Linked DNA regions of Xenopus tropicalis. The protein of the gene in region 2 purifies or fractionates together with the protein of the main gene of each other region. This does not show direct contact. Links are inferred from orthologs where the notes say so. Each region holds a gene or a part of one and is shown on either strand. Other genes may lie near its edges.

Region 1 (4,114 bases), on a different chromosome or scaffold from region 2:
AAGTTGTCCATGAGTGGTTAAAGCTGTGTAAAACTGTACATTAGTCCAACTGAAGTCAGAAAAGAAGGTCACAAACAGAAATGCAGAAAGGAACACTCTTGAGTACCAGCCCTTTTAATTAGGGAAGGTACCAAAAGTATAAAGTAATGCTCATATGAGCAAGATTTATTTTTGGTACTGTGGTCAATATGGCTGGTCAAAAGAACCTGTGAACAAACTGTGTTGATTAACTGTAAATAAAAAGGAAAAGTCCTGATTATGGTAAATTTGTGTCATGTCTATTTTTTGTTCACAAATCTTGCTTTCTAGCAGTACAAAAGCTAATCTTCCCACAATATTATATATATATATATATATATATATATATATATTATATGTGGTTTAATCTAATATCTGCCCTGTTTATTTTACGTAAGAGAAATGTTTTGTAGAAGGCTCTTTCTTTGTATGTTGTATGTCTTTTCTGCTAGGGGAAAGTGAGCCCTGTGTGTCTATGGCATATTTAGAGCACCAACATATCCTGCAGCACTGTACAATAAATGGGTATATACATTGACCATACATATTTACAAACAAAGCAGCCAATAACAGATATAAGAGGTAAAGAAAAAAATTTTTTAACCATCTAAAAGCTTAAAATACAACCACAGAATACTAGACATACAAAGCTGTTTTCAAGAGACATTTAGTTAAATGTCATATGTAAGTGGTCAAAATGGTGCCATACATTAGGGGTACATCTAACAACATGCTAAGGTGTGGAACCACATATGTGGGTAGTAGGCAGAGGCCATGTCAAAAATGAATGAACATGAGAAGCTGTGAATGCACAAGATAAGAATGAAGTAATCCGGAAACAAAGTCAAACACTTACATATTTCCTGTTTTTGGCTTTGTATCTTTCTAGGCTCCCAGCACAAGTCATACTTCTCAAAGTGCCAACTACAAACCCATACATTGTGTTTACAGATCAGTGCCACAGAGCTTGTTGTCACTAAGAAATACAGAGTGTGTGTGTATATTTCTATTTACAGGAATACACAGCAACAAATAAATCAAAAGAGGGAAGAACAGGACTCACATTTAAAGGACAAGGCAACGCAAAATATAATTTTTTTTGCCTAATAAAACAAAACAAAATTCTAAGCAGCTTTGCAATATACATTTATTACAAATTTGTAATGATTTTTGAGTTATTTGTATATATATTAAAAGCAGTGTTTGCCTGTCCTTTTCTATTCTCTGCCCTGGTGGCTCTGACTGTTGAAACAATGTAACACAAGGCAGCAGACTGACAGACCTGTATTGCTGGAGGAGACTGACAGTTGTAACATTGTTTAAAAAGTAACAACCAGGATTACATTTACAAATAAGTTTTAAAATGCTACAAATTTTTAATTAGTTCATATTTGAAAATTACTTAGAATTATGTTTTCTTTTATTATGCAAAAAATTATTTTTGGGGTTGACATGACCTTTAAGCACATTCAATCATTTTCTAATCTAACCATATTGTTTGCACTTAGAATTGCTTTGCATGAATACTATTAACTATGTGTACACTGCATTTTTCTGTACCTATTCTCCGACGGTTTCCAGGTAATGATGTTAAAAACTACACTGGTTCACTGTAAATAAGTGTACTCTCCAGGTTTTTGGAATTATATGTGCTTAAGATGTCTCAATAAAACTACACTGATTCACTGCAAATAAGTGTACTCTCCAGGTTTTTGGAATTATAATGATGTTAAAGCACATGCAAAAGGGGTAAACGTACCTACAAAAGCTTATGCTTACCATGCTCATAAATGCACGTTTACAGATACTTTGCATAATACAAGAAACTGTTATTCTAAACAACTTTCCAATATACATTGCAATGTCAATGAATTTAAATTATTTATAAATGTAAATTTCAGGTGAAAACAGTAAGCTATCCTTTTTCTAAGTAAGTTTTCCTCTATTTTTATCAGCTGGCTCCTGCCACCTTTCAAAAGCCAAAAACTAAAGTGCAATGAATATAAACAGTCACACAAATGCAGCGTTCAATAGCAACTACATTTGCAAACAACATAATCATCATTATAGAATGGAAAGTTGCCTAGAAAGAATTTCTTTCAACGCGCAAAGAACAGTTTCAACATGGACATCCCCTTGTACGGCTCCACTCAGGAGTCCAATGCCCATGAGACACCCAGGCAGCTATCCACATGCATGAATATGAATGCTACTTGGCTATACAGTCACCTATACGGAACTAAAACGCCGTCACATCTGGTACACCTTTTGAAATAAAAAATAACAAAAGTGGTATAAAGGTGATACCTTTATTGGCTAACTAAGATAATCATTGCAAGCTTTCAGAACATTTTAGTTCCTTTTCAAGCTGATTACCTGAAAAAGGAACTAAAATGTTCTGAAAGCTTGCTATGATTATCTTAGTTAGCCAATAAAGGCATCACCTTTATACCACTTTTGTTATTATTTATTTCAAAAGGGTTACCCTGTAAACATTTTTTGACTGGCTAACACCGCACATCACCTTTTCCTGCATCTGGTACACCAAATGCCATGTACATACCCAGGCACACTGTCATGCATTTGAAACCCCTACTGGTATGGGAAAAATCCAATGGCCAGCACATCACCCGGCAGACAGGGAAGGAGGGGCTCAAACTCTATACACCTTCTCCCTATTCCGCCCTATGGCACCTACCTCTCTTTAGTTCGCTCACCGCCCTGCGCACAAGGCCAGGCCCCCGGCGGATCTCCCCGTACACTATGAGCACGGAGCACCGCAGATGCCCGGGACCCGCCCGAGTCGCCGCCATCTTGCAAGTGACATCACCCCGCAAAGCGGCACGGGAATGAAGTCAGCGCCGGCCACTCAGCAACGGGTAGGGGGCGGACGAGACACGCCCACCTCGAGTGAGGGGAGACTCGAAGGGCTGAGCGGTTCTATCACATGTAGTAGGAGAGGTGCTAGTCACTGAAGTTGTGTTCAGTTATATCAAGCAGCATAATACTGTGAAAATCAGAACAGGGTTCTTGCTGACTTTCACGAGTTGTAGCTTCACGAACTTTACAACCCCAATATAAAATGTACCATTGTAATGTCAGCCCTTATGTTCGTATTATATTACTAGAACTGCGTAAGAGGACACTGTCAGCCTATTCTGTGGTTCATTGATTCTGCTGACAGTAGGATCATTGCAGTGTCCTGTGCATAACGTTTGATATTTTTATTTTCTGCTTGGGTGTTTTGGAGTTGGTATTCCAAATTCTTCTTAGAAAGTTTAGGGATTCTATTAGAATCACTTAGCAACTTTCCAATGTACATCATTTTATTTTGTCTTTAGCACTTAGGGCCAAACTATATCATTAAAATAAAGGGGATATAAAACGTTGTAGCGAGGACCGCATCAATGAGCCAATGTGGCCCTTGATATGGCAGTAAAATCAAGCCTGCCTGATTGACATCTGGCTGATTTTTGGCCAAATATCAGACAGGGAGGCCTGTCAGAGGGTCCTATACACGGGTAGATAAACTGCTTGATAAGTCTAAAGGTGGCCACACACGTGGTGATTTGCACGAAAGATCGTTCCAATCCGCCACTAAGGCAGATTTTGCTCAGGCGCCTTCAATGGCGCCCGATCAAAATCTTTTAAACCGCCCGATCGGCGGGTCGACGAATATCAGCAGCCTCCTGCGATATCGGTCGACTCGCCTACTTGCCATACACGCACCAAATATCGTACGAAACAAGGTTTCATACGATATTATCGGTGCGTGTATGGCCAGCTTTAAGGACCCGATTTGGCAGCTTAAATCTGCTTGTGGACGGCCACCTTAAGAGTGACTTCAGTGCCTGGCTCATTCTGTGCTCATTATCTAAGACAAATATATATATGAGTGTGTAATCATGCCTTCATTTCTTAGTACATTTGGAAGTCAATACCTGTTACCTTTATGTTTTTTGGCTTGGTTTGCTGAATATAATATTAATACAGTATCAAATACGGTAATTATCAAGTAATGGTAGTACTTTATCACCATAAGCGATGATAGTTCTTTGCGTATCAACTATTAACAACAATTTTCAATCAGAAGCTC
Region 2 (2,683 bases):
TCCTTCATGCACAGGGTGTGTGCCGCATTTCCTTCCTCTCGGCCTTCCGGGACTTGCTGTTCCCAGGACTTGGAACAAGAACACTCCCCACCTTATCCCAAACCCTGCAGGTCTGGGTAGGAGCAGGCTTCTCATAAAGTACCGGATGAGCCCTTCTCCAGCCTCTTTCCTCCCCTTCGCTCCCCACCTTTCCAGTACCAGCCTGATGCAACGCTGACTAAACTGGGAGATTTAGGGAGGGAGGGGAGGGAGACAGGAGGAGGACATCATAGACAAACCGATTACAGGAATAAGTGCAAAGAGGAAGTCACAGCTCCATTTTGTCTTTAGTGCCTTTGTAGGATAGTTATTTGCCTCTGGATGTGGTTTTACAAGGCAGAATTAATGAGCCAGTAATGCACCCACAGCTTCTACAGGGTCTGCTTGGAGCCAGATGTTTTCATTAGGCATGCCTAGGGCTAGTTTATATATTAGAGAGAGCAAGATTGTTGCAATATACATGCAGGCCCTTTGTCTGACTGAGGCAGATGGATCTTACTCCTTTTTGAGTGTATTTTAACATTCATCCTATAGGCCACTGCCACTTCTGGGCTGAGGTACAAAATGGGCCATGGCATTTCATGGGCAGAAAGGTCCAAACAGCCCCACACAAGCCCAATACTAAGCACCAATCTGTGGCAACTCACAGCAGCCCCACAGGGGCTTTTGGGTAAAGAGTAACAAAACCTGCCTGATGTCTAGCGCCCTGATTGCTCTGAGCTTTCAACGTGGCCATAGATTACAAGATCTTGCCAAACAAGGGGATCTTTCCCCAATATGCCCACCTAAGGTGGGTGATATTGGGCTAATTAGATTGTTTGGCTATAGGCCAGAGATAGGAGCAGTCGGAGCGAGGAACACATCAATGAGCCAACGCAGTCCCCAGTCTGTCTAAAAAATCAAACTTTGCCGATCAACACCTGGCCAATTTTTAACCAGATATTGATCGGGAAGGGCTGTCGGGGGTCCCCAGATATGCTGCCAAATCGGTCTAAAGGACTCGAATCTGCAGTTCAAATCTGCCTGTGTATGGCACCTTAAGAAAAGACGTATTACTAACTAGAAAGGAAGCTGAGTCACATGAGAAACAGGAAATGAACATCTGCGTTTTGGTGCCAAAAGTGATTATTTTTCAAGATTTTTCCAATTCTGCTCTGTTTTAAACAGTATTACACAATGTCTTCTATCACTTTTTTTTTCATCAATTTGTAGTTTTTATTTACTGGTATCAGTTCGGAATTGTTCTAGAGCACTGATCCACAGCAACCAGTCAGTCTAGTGCAGTTAGAATAATACATTGTCTGGTTGCTATGGGTTACTGTTCTGGTACAATTGGAACTGTCTTTGTAAATTATCCTTTTCAGTTTGTTCTTTGTGACCTAAAGGCATTTCTTCTGACCCTATTAGATGTTTGTTGCTTCTGTTTTTGTTCTAGTAAAGGGTAGCAGATGAGCCCCCAGGATATCACTGCTGGCTTAAAGAGGTTGTTCACCTTTAAATTAACTTTTAGTATCATGCAGAGAGTGCTATTTTGAGACAATTTGGAATTGGTTTTCATTTTTTATTATTTTCAGTTTTTGATTTATTTAGCTTTTTGTTCAGCAGCTCTCCAGTTTGGAAATTCAGGAGCTATCTGGTTGCTGGGGTCCAATTTAACCTGGTAGCCAGGCAGTGGTTTAGAGGAGAGACAGAAATATGAATAGGGAAGAGCCTAAATAGAAAGACAAGTCATAGAAAGTAACAATAACAATAAAATTGTAGCCTCACAGAGCAATTGCTGTTGGCATCAGTGGCCCCCATTGGAAAGCTGGAAAAAGAGAAAGTCAAATCATTCAAAAACTTTAACAAATAAAAAATGAAGACTAACTGAAAAGTTTCCAAGAAAGGACCATTCTGTAACATACTACAAGTTAACTACCTTTTTAATGGAAATTCCGTTGGGCTCCTTCGCTCACTGCAGCACAGCTATTTGCCTGCCTGTAGTGCAAGGCTGTGCTGCCTCTCCATTTGCAGGTAGATTTGTGTTGTGGGGAAGGTGCTGCTCTATTGAAATCAGTTTTTCTGACTTTTGACCCTCCCTAATCCTTAAGCTTAAGGTTTTCAACATTAAATGGTTTATGTAATATGTGGTTTCTTTTTCTTACAGGACGAAAAGCCAGAAAAGCAGCCGCAGGCCCTGAGCAAGGCAGAGCTAGAACAGAAAATAAAGGCTTATAATTCTCAGATAAAGAGCAATCTCTTCATGAGTCTGGTACGTTATGAGTAATGCACAGACAGAATCCTCTCCTGTCTGTGATGCTGGTATGTGTGAATTCAGTAAGCACTCAGGGCAGGAATATTGTATTACTTGGCCCTCACATTTATTGGCTTTCACCAGTCACGTTTTGTAGTTTGAGTGCTCCGTAAGCCCCTCCAAGATGTTGCCTCCCTTTGTTCACTATGACCCCATTATAATTTATGTACCTTGAGCCCCTCTCTCTGTGTGACCGTATGTGTGACGAAGGGAAACCCTTTCCATTACAGAATCACTTGTGACACATATTGTATGGCTACTAAGAGAAGATTATACCTTGACAGACTGGTGACTGGGAGAAGAATGGATTGGCAAATAATATAACTGAGCAGGTCGCATTAGTCTTTGTTA
Region 3 (4,105 bases), on a different chromosome or scaffold from region 2:
GCCTAACTATATTGAAAACATTTTATATTTTGCGCAGTCTATTTTGACAATTATTTTTATTTTTACACTGAACTGCTCCTTTAAAAGGGGTTGTTTGCCTTTTTTCTATTAATGTGAACGTTTAGATTTGTGTATGTTGTACAATCTTTGCAAAATACACAGTAAACATATTATGTGCAGCTGAAGAGATATTGACCTCAGAATCATCCCTCAGCTCATCCTTTATTTTTGCACAGACCCTGTGCTGGGGGGGTGGGGGTCTGTAAACACTACAGTTGCTTTTTTACTTCCTTATGTCACGCATAGTATTGGCAGCAGACTTAACACTTACCGGCTGTGCCTCCTGTCAGTCTGACACAGCATCCTGCGACAGAATGCTGTAAATCTAACATAACAGTATGTTAGATTTGTGATATGCTGAGTCTGTTTGCCTTTGCCTTTGCAAGGGAGAAATGAACCAATGACCTTTCAAGTTATGCAACTGGTTAGGGTGCACAAGTAACCAATGAATTGATCCAATAGAAAAAATAAGGACAAAGCCTATAGGAAATTCTAAGTGTGTCAGGTTTTAAAATAGGCCCTTCAGAAAATTGACCAGATATAGGAGGACTGATTTAACAGCTATAAAAATATTATTTCACTGACAGACTGCCTCTGCTACTTGATTTGCACATTTCCTTTAAATACACTACTGTCATATTCATTTTGTGTTAATGAGACAATGTAAGTGTATTTATAGTGTTAAAAAACAGACTATGAAAAATTGGACAATCTTTACAGATACACAATGGTTAAAGGTGGCCACACATAAGGAAATATTTATTGAAGTTTAAAATTAGAGATCCACACCGAAAAAACTCATCCACTTTCTATTCATTTCTATGGAAGTGTATTTATCAATGGGTGAAAGTTAGAGTTCACCATTTGATAAATGTGCCTCTAAAAACCCAATAGAAATAAATAGAAAGTGGATGAGTTTTTCTGTAGTGATCTCTAATCTCACACTTGTGGCCAACCTATTTGCCTGAGGATTGGGCAGTTTGACATTGCATTATTTAGTCATATGGATTGCCAAATAGTCTGTTCTTCATCACATGATGAAAAGATGCACTGGCTGATTTAATTTTAAGTTGAGAGAGGGTACAATATGCTGTCGTTGCCGAAAGCTCAGTTAAAACAGTCCCCTACCCATTGCCATACATGCTAAGTGGCCCAGGTAATATGGTCTGAATTTTCCATCTGCCTCACCAAACCTATTTAGGTAGATATTTTTATTTACATCCACAGTGTGTATTCAGTGCTCAGCCACTGTATGACCTGTATAAACTCCTCAATCAGTTCACAGACCTCCACGATCCTCCCCTCATCCCTCCTCCATTGTCCTCTTCTCTTTTCTTTATCTTTCTCAGCCCTCTTCCATTCATACTTCTAGAATATCAATGCTCAGTCCTCCCTAAGGGCTGTGACACTTGGGGAGATTAGTCGCCGAGCGACTAATCTCCCCAAAATGCCATCCCGCCAGCTAAAATTTAAATTGCCAGTGGGATGGCATATGCGGCATCCCGTGTGTCACAGCCCTAAGGGTGAAGCCACATGGAGCTACTAGTAGCAGCTACTTGCCACAGCTACCAAAATAGACAATGCTGATCATTTACGGATAATTGTCTTTACGTGTTTTTAGCAGCAGAGGCAATTGTTTTTGGCAGGGTATTTTTTGGCGTTTAGTAGCCTGACAAATAGCTGCTACTAAGTAGCTATTGTGTGTCTTCCCAGACAGCAGAAGATAAAGGGGGGGTGTGAAGCATAAAGGCCAAAGAACTGAAGTGAATGAATACGGACAGGCTCCTACAGACATGTAAATAAAATAAGAATATCCTAATATATACTCTATAGACTTCACTTGGTCTCATCAAACTGCCTCTGTCTGAAACCAAAATTGCCAGCGTGCATAAAGCAAGGTGGCATAAATACTTTAAATAGGTCCCTCAAACATAGTATGAGCACAGTAAGCAGGGCATGTGGGGGGTGGTACTGTTATTGGGGTGCTGGAATTACATGAAATTATCTGCAGAGCAGTGCATACATTTTATTATTCATTCCTTCAAAATATCTAAATTAAAATTGTCAACATATAAATGTAATTATAAGTAGCGCATACAGGCACTGTATTACAGGCTGGTGTAGCTTTCTGGTGGATTGTATGGGAAGTTGTATTCGGCCCTTGATAAAGATGCCGCAAAGTTACTTTCCCAAACAAAAGGTGAGAGCTGGGCTACTGTCGCGCCCCTCCCAATGCCCATATAAAACTACCCCATCACTCACTCCGCAGCAGCGGGGAGGTCTCTTTCTTCACGTACTTCCCCTGCACCTCCGCAGGCTTGGAAACTTCTTTCTTGGTTTTCTTTCTGGATAACAACATTCCCGCCCCTCGGCTGTGGCGCCCCCACACTGGCTCACTCAGCCGCTCCGCGCAGCATTACTTCCCCGGGGCAGGGTCCCACACGCACACCCAGCGCCTTGTGTTCAGGGGCGAGCGGCGCTGCTTTTATTCAGCTGCGGGTCACGAACATCTCCTCCAACGCCCACCTGTGAGCTGCTAGTGATAGCTGGTACATCCCGCTGCCCTTTCGGAGTGCCCAACGCATGCATCCAGTGCCCGCACCCAAACCCACCGCCGCCCCAACTATACCCAAGCCGCCTAGCGCGACCCTTCCCAGTATCTCCCGAAAAACTTTTCTTCTCTCCTTGTCTGTTGAAAGACGCATGCGCAGCAATTGCAACAGGCTATGACGCAGGCGCCGCACCCCGTTTAGCATTGGCTGTTTGGTTTGCTGGTTGGAACTGTGTCAGAGTAGTTGCGATGGTGCTATGTTCTGTGTACATCCCTGCCATCATTTACAGCGCACAGCTGACATGTTTGTTGTGACAAAGAATATCCGCATGCTGCAGTACGCACTGCTGGAATGACTGCCCTGTAAACAATGCTCAATACATGCTATCAACTTATTGTAATACAAATATGCCCACCCACCCACACAGCGTGCGTTTTATTGTATGAGTTAGCATGCTTGACCAATGGTTATTGCCCTGTAGGGTAGGCCTGAGGTGGTAAAAAAGCAGTTCAGGGATATTTAAAAACAATATTGAGTACTGGTGAATTTCATTTCTTTGCAATGAAGTGGATTTAATTCTGCTTGGTTTGTTATGCTGCACTAGCACAACAAGGGAACAAGCTCTGTGAGTTTTTTTTCCACAGTGTAGCTGGCCATTCAAGCCAGTGGCAAACTTCAACCCAATACAACATTTGATTTATAAAAGGATTGTACAGTTACTTGAATAGTCACACATGGCACAAATAACAGGCTACACCCCTCCTATTCGCACCCAGTTCCCACGCGTTTCATGACTGGGGGGGGGGGGTTGCACTGAGGCTGCCTAGCTGTGCCCTGTACTCCTCAATCTCACACTGCGTCCAGTACCCATGCATGCTGTTCCTTGCACATAATTCATGATGTAAGCAGGGCTCCCTTGCTACAATGCTCATGCACTATGTGGCACAAAGTACAATGTGCAGTTTATCTGTATAAAGCCTTTTCTATGTGTATATGTGTGGAGCAGTAAATATCTATGTAACAATGCAATTCTTTGTGGAATATGTGGAAATATTTCCTGTAATAATGGAATGAGTAGCCTTCCAAATTTCCAACACCAGACTTTTGCAGATTAAATTATTGTGCCTGACACCCTGTTGCATGCACCTTAATGATTAATGCCCTTTCCTCTAGTACGGTAATGTCAAAACAATGAGCAAGCAGTTTACCCCAGGTGCAGAGAAAGTACCTATAAGCCCTAACCAGAATGTATGTACACTGTGGGGATTGGTTTGCTATAGAAGCTGTCCCTGGGAATTGGTTTTGCAGCTTTGTGAATAAATACTAACATTATAATTCCATATAGTGCAAGGAGTTAGTTGTCCTATAATGGTTGAGAAATGCTGGTTAAAAGGGACACTATGATAAAAAAAAGTCTCATAAAGTGATGGCCTTATTGTCCTAGATGTGTAACAAACACTTGCCTCCAATGCCCAGCTAGAATTCATAACTGA
Region 4 (4,022 bases), on a different chromosome or scaffold from region 2:
AAATATGCCCTACTGCTACCCAACTGTAACTGGGCTTTCTTGCTGTGATCGGTCCCCTCAGAACTGATGTGGGTAATAGCCTTGTGAATCTTGTGCATTATCAGACTGTGCCAGGGGGTGACAATAGCAGGGCAAAAGGGGGCAGGTAATTATGTGCAACTGAGCAGCTGAGGTAAAGGTTAAGGGCGAAGACACACAAGCTACTTAGTAGCAGCTACTTGTCACGCTACTAAATGCCAGAAAATACCCTGCCAGACAATACTGAGAATTGCCTCTGCTAAAACACACATAGAGCCAATTATCACTAAATGATAAGCATTGTCTAATTTTGTAGCAGTGACAAGTAGCTGCTACTAGTAGCTCTGTGTGTCTTCACCCTGACACATAATACCATCTAGAGAAACTAGTGCACTCCCTCTTTATATTCAATTAGAGTCGCTCATCTTGCACCTTGTACAGGGCCCACATAGAATTCTCTCTATTCCTTAACTAGAAATGCAGGTAAAACCATGCCCCTCACCCTGCCCTCTTTAGTATTAGAGATTAAATACAATTATGTTACAGTGCTTATCTACTAGATCTCCGGCAAAATGAAAGAAGCCACTATGGTATGGAATTGATTACCTAAACAGAATCTAGAATAAAAAGAAGCGTTTAGTCGCCTTCGAGTGAATGTGTGCAAGTGGGTGCGACAGGAGCATGAATGAAGCAGCAGATTTGTGCTGGGAAAGTGACACAGCAACAAGCGCCGCCTGACTGAGCCCAGCACATGCCCTTTCCCTATTGGCTGCCCGCAGGAACGCTCTCTGCCCACTGTGCGTTGCCGTAGGGACCGCAGTGCGGACTGCGCCACGCCCACCCCAGCCGGCACCGCGGCGCTCCTGCAAGTTGGATCCGGTAGCGCTGGGAGATCCGCTCCATGGGCGCCTCCGAGCTTCCCGCAGCAAGCATGGCACTGCCTGTCCTGGCACCGCTTATATACTCAGCTGCTTGCCATACCGGGGAAAGGGGTTCCCTATTCAGTGCAAATATCATTTAGAGCCATGTATATGGCAATATACAGGCAATCTCACCAGCATTAGTCTATAATAAACCAAGGGGGGAAGCATCCCATTGCTATCAGGACCAATTCTAACCCTGACACCTGTATGGCACCAGCAATGTCCAGCCTGTGGCCCTCCAGTTCGTTGTTAGCTATAATTAGTGGCACCCCATGTTAGCAGGAGGCGCCTGACTGGAGGGCCACATACTGGATATTCCTCTTGCTATCAATCCAATAAGCATGGCTGGGCGTGGGGCATGGCAGGATGCGCTGCTCTGTACATGGCGCTGCCCCAGTCTGCGCTGCACGTCCTTGAGATGGGAGCATGGCAAGGGTAGAACAGCCAGGTTATCTGGGGCGGGGCCCCCGGCTATTCAGGATGGCAGAGATAGCCAACCTGCTGTTCCTCCAGCTGTTGGGGAACAGGCAGCTGTCGGAGAGATGTGCAGAGCTGCAGTACCACATCGGCTGGGGGGTTGCGGGTTGCACATTCACTATCTATTTATTAAAAATATCCATTATCATTTATTATATGATGTCCTTTGTAACTTGATCTGCCTGCTCCCACGTACCCCTGTGATGCTGGGGCCCCAAGCAGCTGTTCTCTCTCCGCTATCCTACAGCCAGCCCAGAATAGAGCCAAGGGTACCATCCCTGGCACTTCCACACCCAGCCCGGCACTTCCACACCCAGCCCGGCACTTCCATACCCGGCCCGGCACTTCCATACCCGGCCCGGCACACCCAGCGGTGCTACTGAAACTTCCCCTCTCCCCCATGGAGATTGGATGAGTTACATAGAAAAGGCAGTGCTGAGCATCCCCAGCTCTTTACCCGCAGCTCCCTGCCCATCTGCTCTTATCATGGCATATAACTGGCACATTGCATGAGCAGAAGCCCGGGTTTAGTAGAAAATGGCATGCTTGGCAGCAGGAAGGTTGTTCTGCTCTCAGTGTGGCAGCAGAGGGAGGGGCTCCTTCCTTGCCAACTGTTAGATCTGCAGCCCACCACATTTTCTGTCCAGAAAAAAAGGGAGTGGCTGCTCCAGATTTGCCTTTGTTCCCCCAAACTGAATGGCACAATTGTCCTTTCTCACAGGTATTTTGTGCATCGGTTCAGCTACAAAATCAATTCTGTCCAAGGTATGCGACAAAATGATGTGGCATTTGTGCCCACAGGCAGGAGCCGAGCCGGAACAAAAGCAAGTGCAACCTGTGGGTCTGACAGAGGGATGCTGAAGGGGGGGGGGGTTTCCTAATAGGGGGTCTCTGGCCAGTCCTTACCTCTCTCGATGTTGCTCAGGGCGCATCTCACATGCTCCTCGGTCACTGTCTCCCCAATAACCACCAGCAGGTAGAACTTACTGTCCAGGAACCTGTGCGAGAGGCTGGGGGAGGCTGCTGGGATCGGGACGGTGTGTGCTGGGTCCATGGCCGGTCCTGGTTCCACAAGGGTTGCCATCCTATCCCCCCACCCTGCAGGCTTCCTCTCACTGATATTCCTCCTGGTCTCCCTCACTCGGCTACACCCGGCGGGTAAGAGCAGGCAGCAGGGAGTGAGCCGGGGAGGGGAGGTGGGCAGCCTTTTATACGGCGAGCCTGGGCTGGGACCCTGGGAGGAGAATCACATTAGCTGCCTGTCTCTTTTCCAGCATCCACCGCGTCTGATGTCATCTGCAGCAAATCATCGCCTCCGGAAGCAGAAAGGAAGCGCTGCAACTCAGTGCGGCCAGTAGCAGCAGCAGCAGGGAGGCAATGCGGTGCATCAGCTGCGATTCCCCCCGGCCCATTCCTGCACTGGAACCTAAGGAATTACTGTCTCTATTCAAAGCTTTCACTGCGTACAACACAATCCTGTAACCCTTTCACTGCCAGCCCACTTCTGCACTTTCATTGCCCTTAATGTCAGGGAATTTTCCATCCTTTTGTGTTTTTTTGCTTTAGGAGCTTTTCCTTAGTGATGTACTTGAAAAAAACTATGTACATATAATTTTTTTGGGCAATAACAGCTTTCTGGATTTTGGGCAGGGCTCTTGTATCTTTTATAGGTTATTGTACATATATGTATGTGCAATTTATACTCATATACTCTGTACAGTGCTGCAGAATATATAACTACATGCTGATAATAATAAATATGACTAAATGCCAGGCCACAGGTGGAGCTTCTGGTAACTTTAAAGAAACAGTAACACCAAAAAATAAAAATATTTTAAAGTAAGTGAAATATGATGTACTGTTGCTCTACACTAGTAAAACTGGTGCGTTTGCGTCAGAAACATTACTATAGTTTATATAAATAAGCCGCTGTTTAGTCATGGGGCAGCCATTCAGTCAGAAAGAGGAGAAAAGGAACAGGTTGCATAGTAGAATCCCATTGTATTTTACAGAGCTCATCCATTATCTGCTATGCACCCTGTCCTTTTCCTCCTTTTTTCCAGCATGAATGGCTGCCCCCATGGCTACACAGAAGCTTTGTTTATACAAACTATAGTACCAGTGTAGGGCAACCATACATTATATTTTAGTTACTGTAAAACACTCTCAATTTTTATTTTATGTTACTTTTCCTTTAAAATCCAAATGTTCATTTTTAAAAATAAAACATTAGCCCCCTTTAATGCAGACTATGTTTTTGCACCCCCCTGCACTTACTCTTCCCCACCAGGGGAGAGTCAGAAAGAAGTCTGTTTTAATAAGATATATGGCTCTAAATATTTATTTTAAAATATATCTTAATATAACTGCATATAGAGCATGGATTCTTTTTATCCATGAAAATACTTATGTGGAAAGCCCAATTTTCGCTGAGTGCAAACGCCAAATCCTTATGGTTTTATAGACATTCCTGACATATAGATCAAAAACCCACAGCAGTGCAAAGGCACATTGTAAAGCTCCGCACCAGTAATGATCTTACTATACACTGCAAGGCTAAAACACTGACCCCAGAAAACCCAGATATTTCTGTAAACTATGCAT

Evidence for each region.
Region 1: the proteins of rassf1 (region 2) and map1s purify together in Homo sapiens (affinity purification with mass spectrometry; 4 studies listed by BioGRID and IntAct, counting the BioPlex papers as one, with this or other methods). This does not show direct contact. The link is inferred for Xenopus tropicalis from reciprocal best matches to the Homo sapiens genes RASSF1 and MAP1S.
Region 3: the proteins of rassf1 (region 2) and sav1 purify together in Homo sapiens (affinity purification with western blotting; 3 studies listed by BioGRID, with this or other methods). This does not show direct contact. The link is inferred for Xenopus tropicalis from reciprocal best matches to the Homo sapiens genes RASSF1 and SAV1.
Region 4: the proteins of rassf1 (region 2) and map1b purify together in Homo sapiens (affinity purification with mass spectrometry; 3 studies listed by BioGRID and IntAct, counting the BioPlex papers as one, with this or other methods). This does not show direct contact. The link is inferred for Xenopus tropicalis from reciprocal best matches to the Homo sapiens genes RASSF1 and MAP1B.

The regions. Positions count from the first base shown.
Region 1 is NC_030677.2:110,980,878-110,984,991, reverse strand, and holds the start of map1s (microtubule-associated protein 1S), read right to left. Parts: upstream 2,868-4,114; 5' UTR 2,832-2,867; coding exon 2,717-2,831; intron 1-2,716. UniProt on the Homo sapiens protein: Microtubule-associated protein that mediates aggregation of mitochondria resulting in cell death and genomic destruction (MAGD). Plays a role in anchoring the microtubule organizing center to the centrosomes. Binds to DNA. Plays a role in apoptosis.
Region 2 is NC_030680.2:127,214,032-127,216,714, reverse strand, and holds part of rassf1 (ras association domain-containing protein 1), read left to right. Parts: intron 1-2,185; coding exon 2,186-2,290; intron 2,291-2,683. UniProt on the Homo sapiens protein: Potential tumor suppressor. Required for death receptor-dependent apoptosis. Mediates activation of STK3/MST2 and STK4/MST1 during Fas-induced apoptosis by preventing their dephosphorylation.
Region 3 is NC_030684.2:93,082,741-93,086,845, forward strand, and holds the start of sav1 (protein salvador homolog 1), read right to left. Parts: upstream 2,812-4,105; 5' UTR 2,420-2,811; coding exon of another isoform or gene 2,323-2,419; intron 1-2,322. UniProt on the Homo sapiens protein: Regulator of STK3/MST2 and STK4/MST1 in the Hippo signaling pathway which plays a pivotal role in organ size control and tumor suppression by restricting proliferation and promoting apoptosis.
Region 4 is NC_030677.2:182,786,114-182,790,135, reverse strand, and holds the start of map1b (microtubule-associated protein 1B), read right to left. Parts: upstream 2,808-4,022; 5' UTR 2,503-2,807; coding exon 2,325-2,502; intron 1-2,324. UniProt on the Homo sapiens protein: Facilitates tyrosination of alpha-tubulin in neuronal microtubules. Phosphorylated MAP1B is required for proper microtubule dynamics and plays a role in the cytoskeletal changes that accompany neuronal differentiation and neurite extension.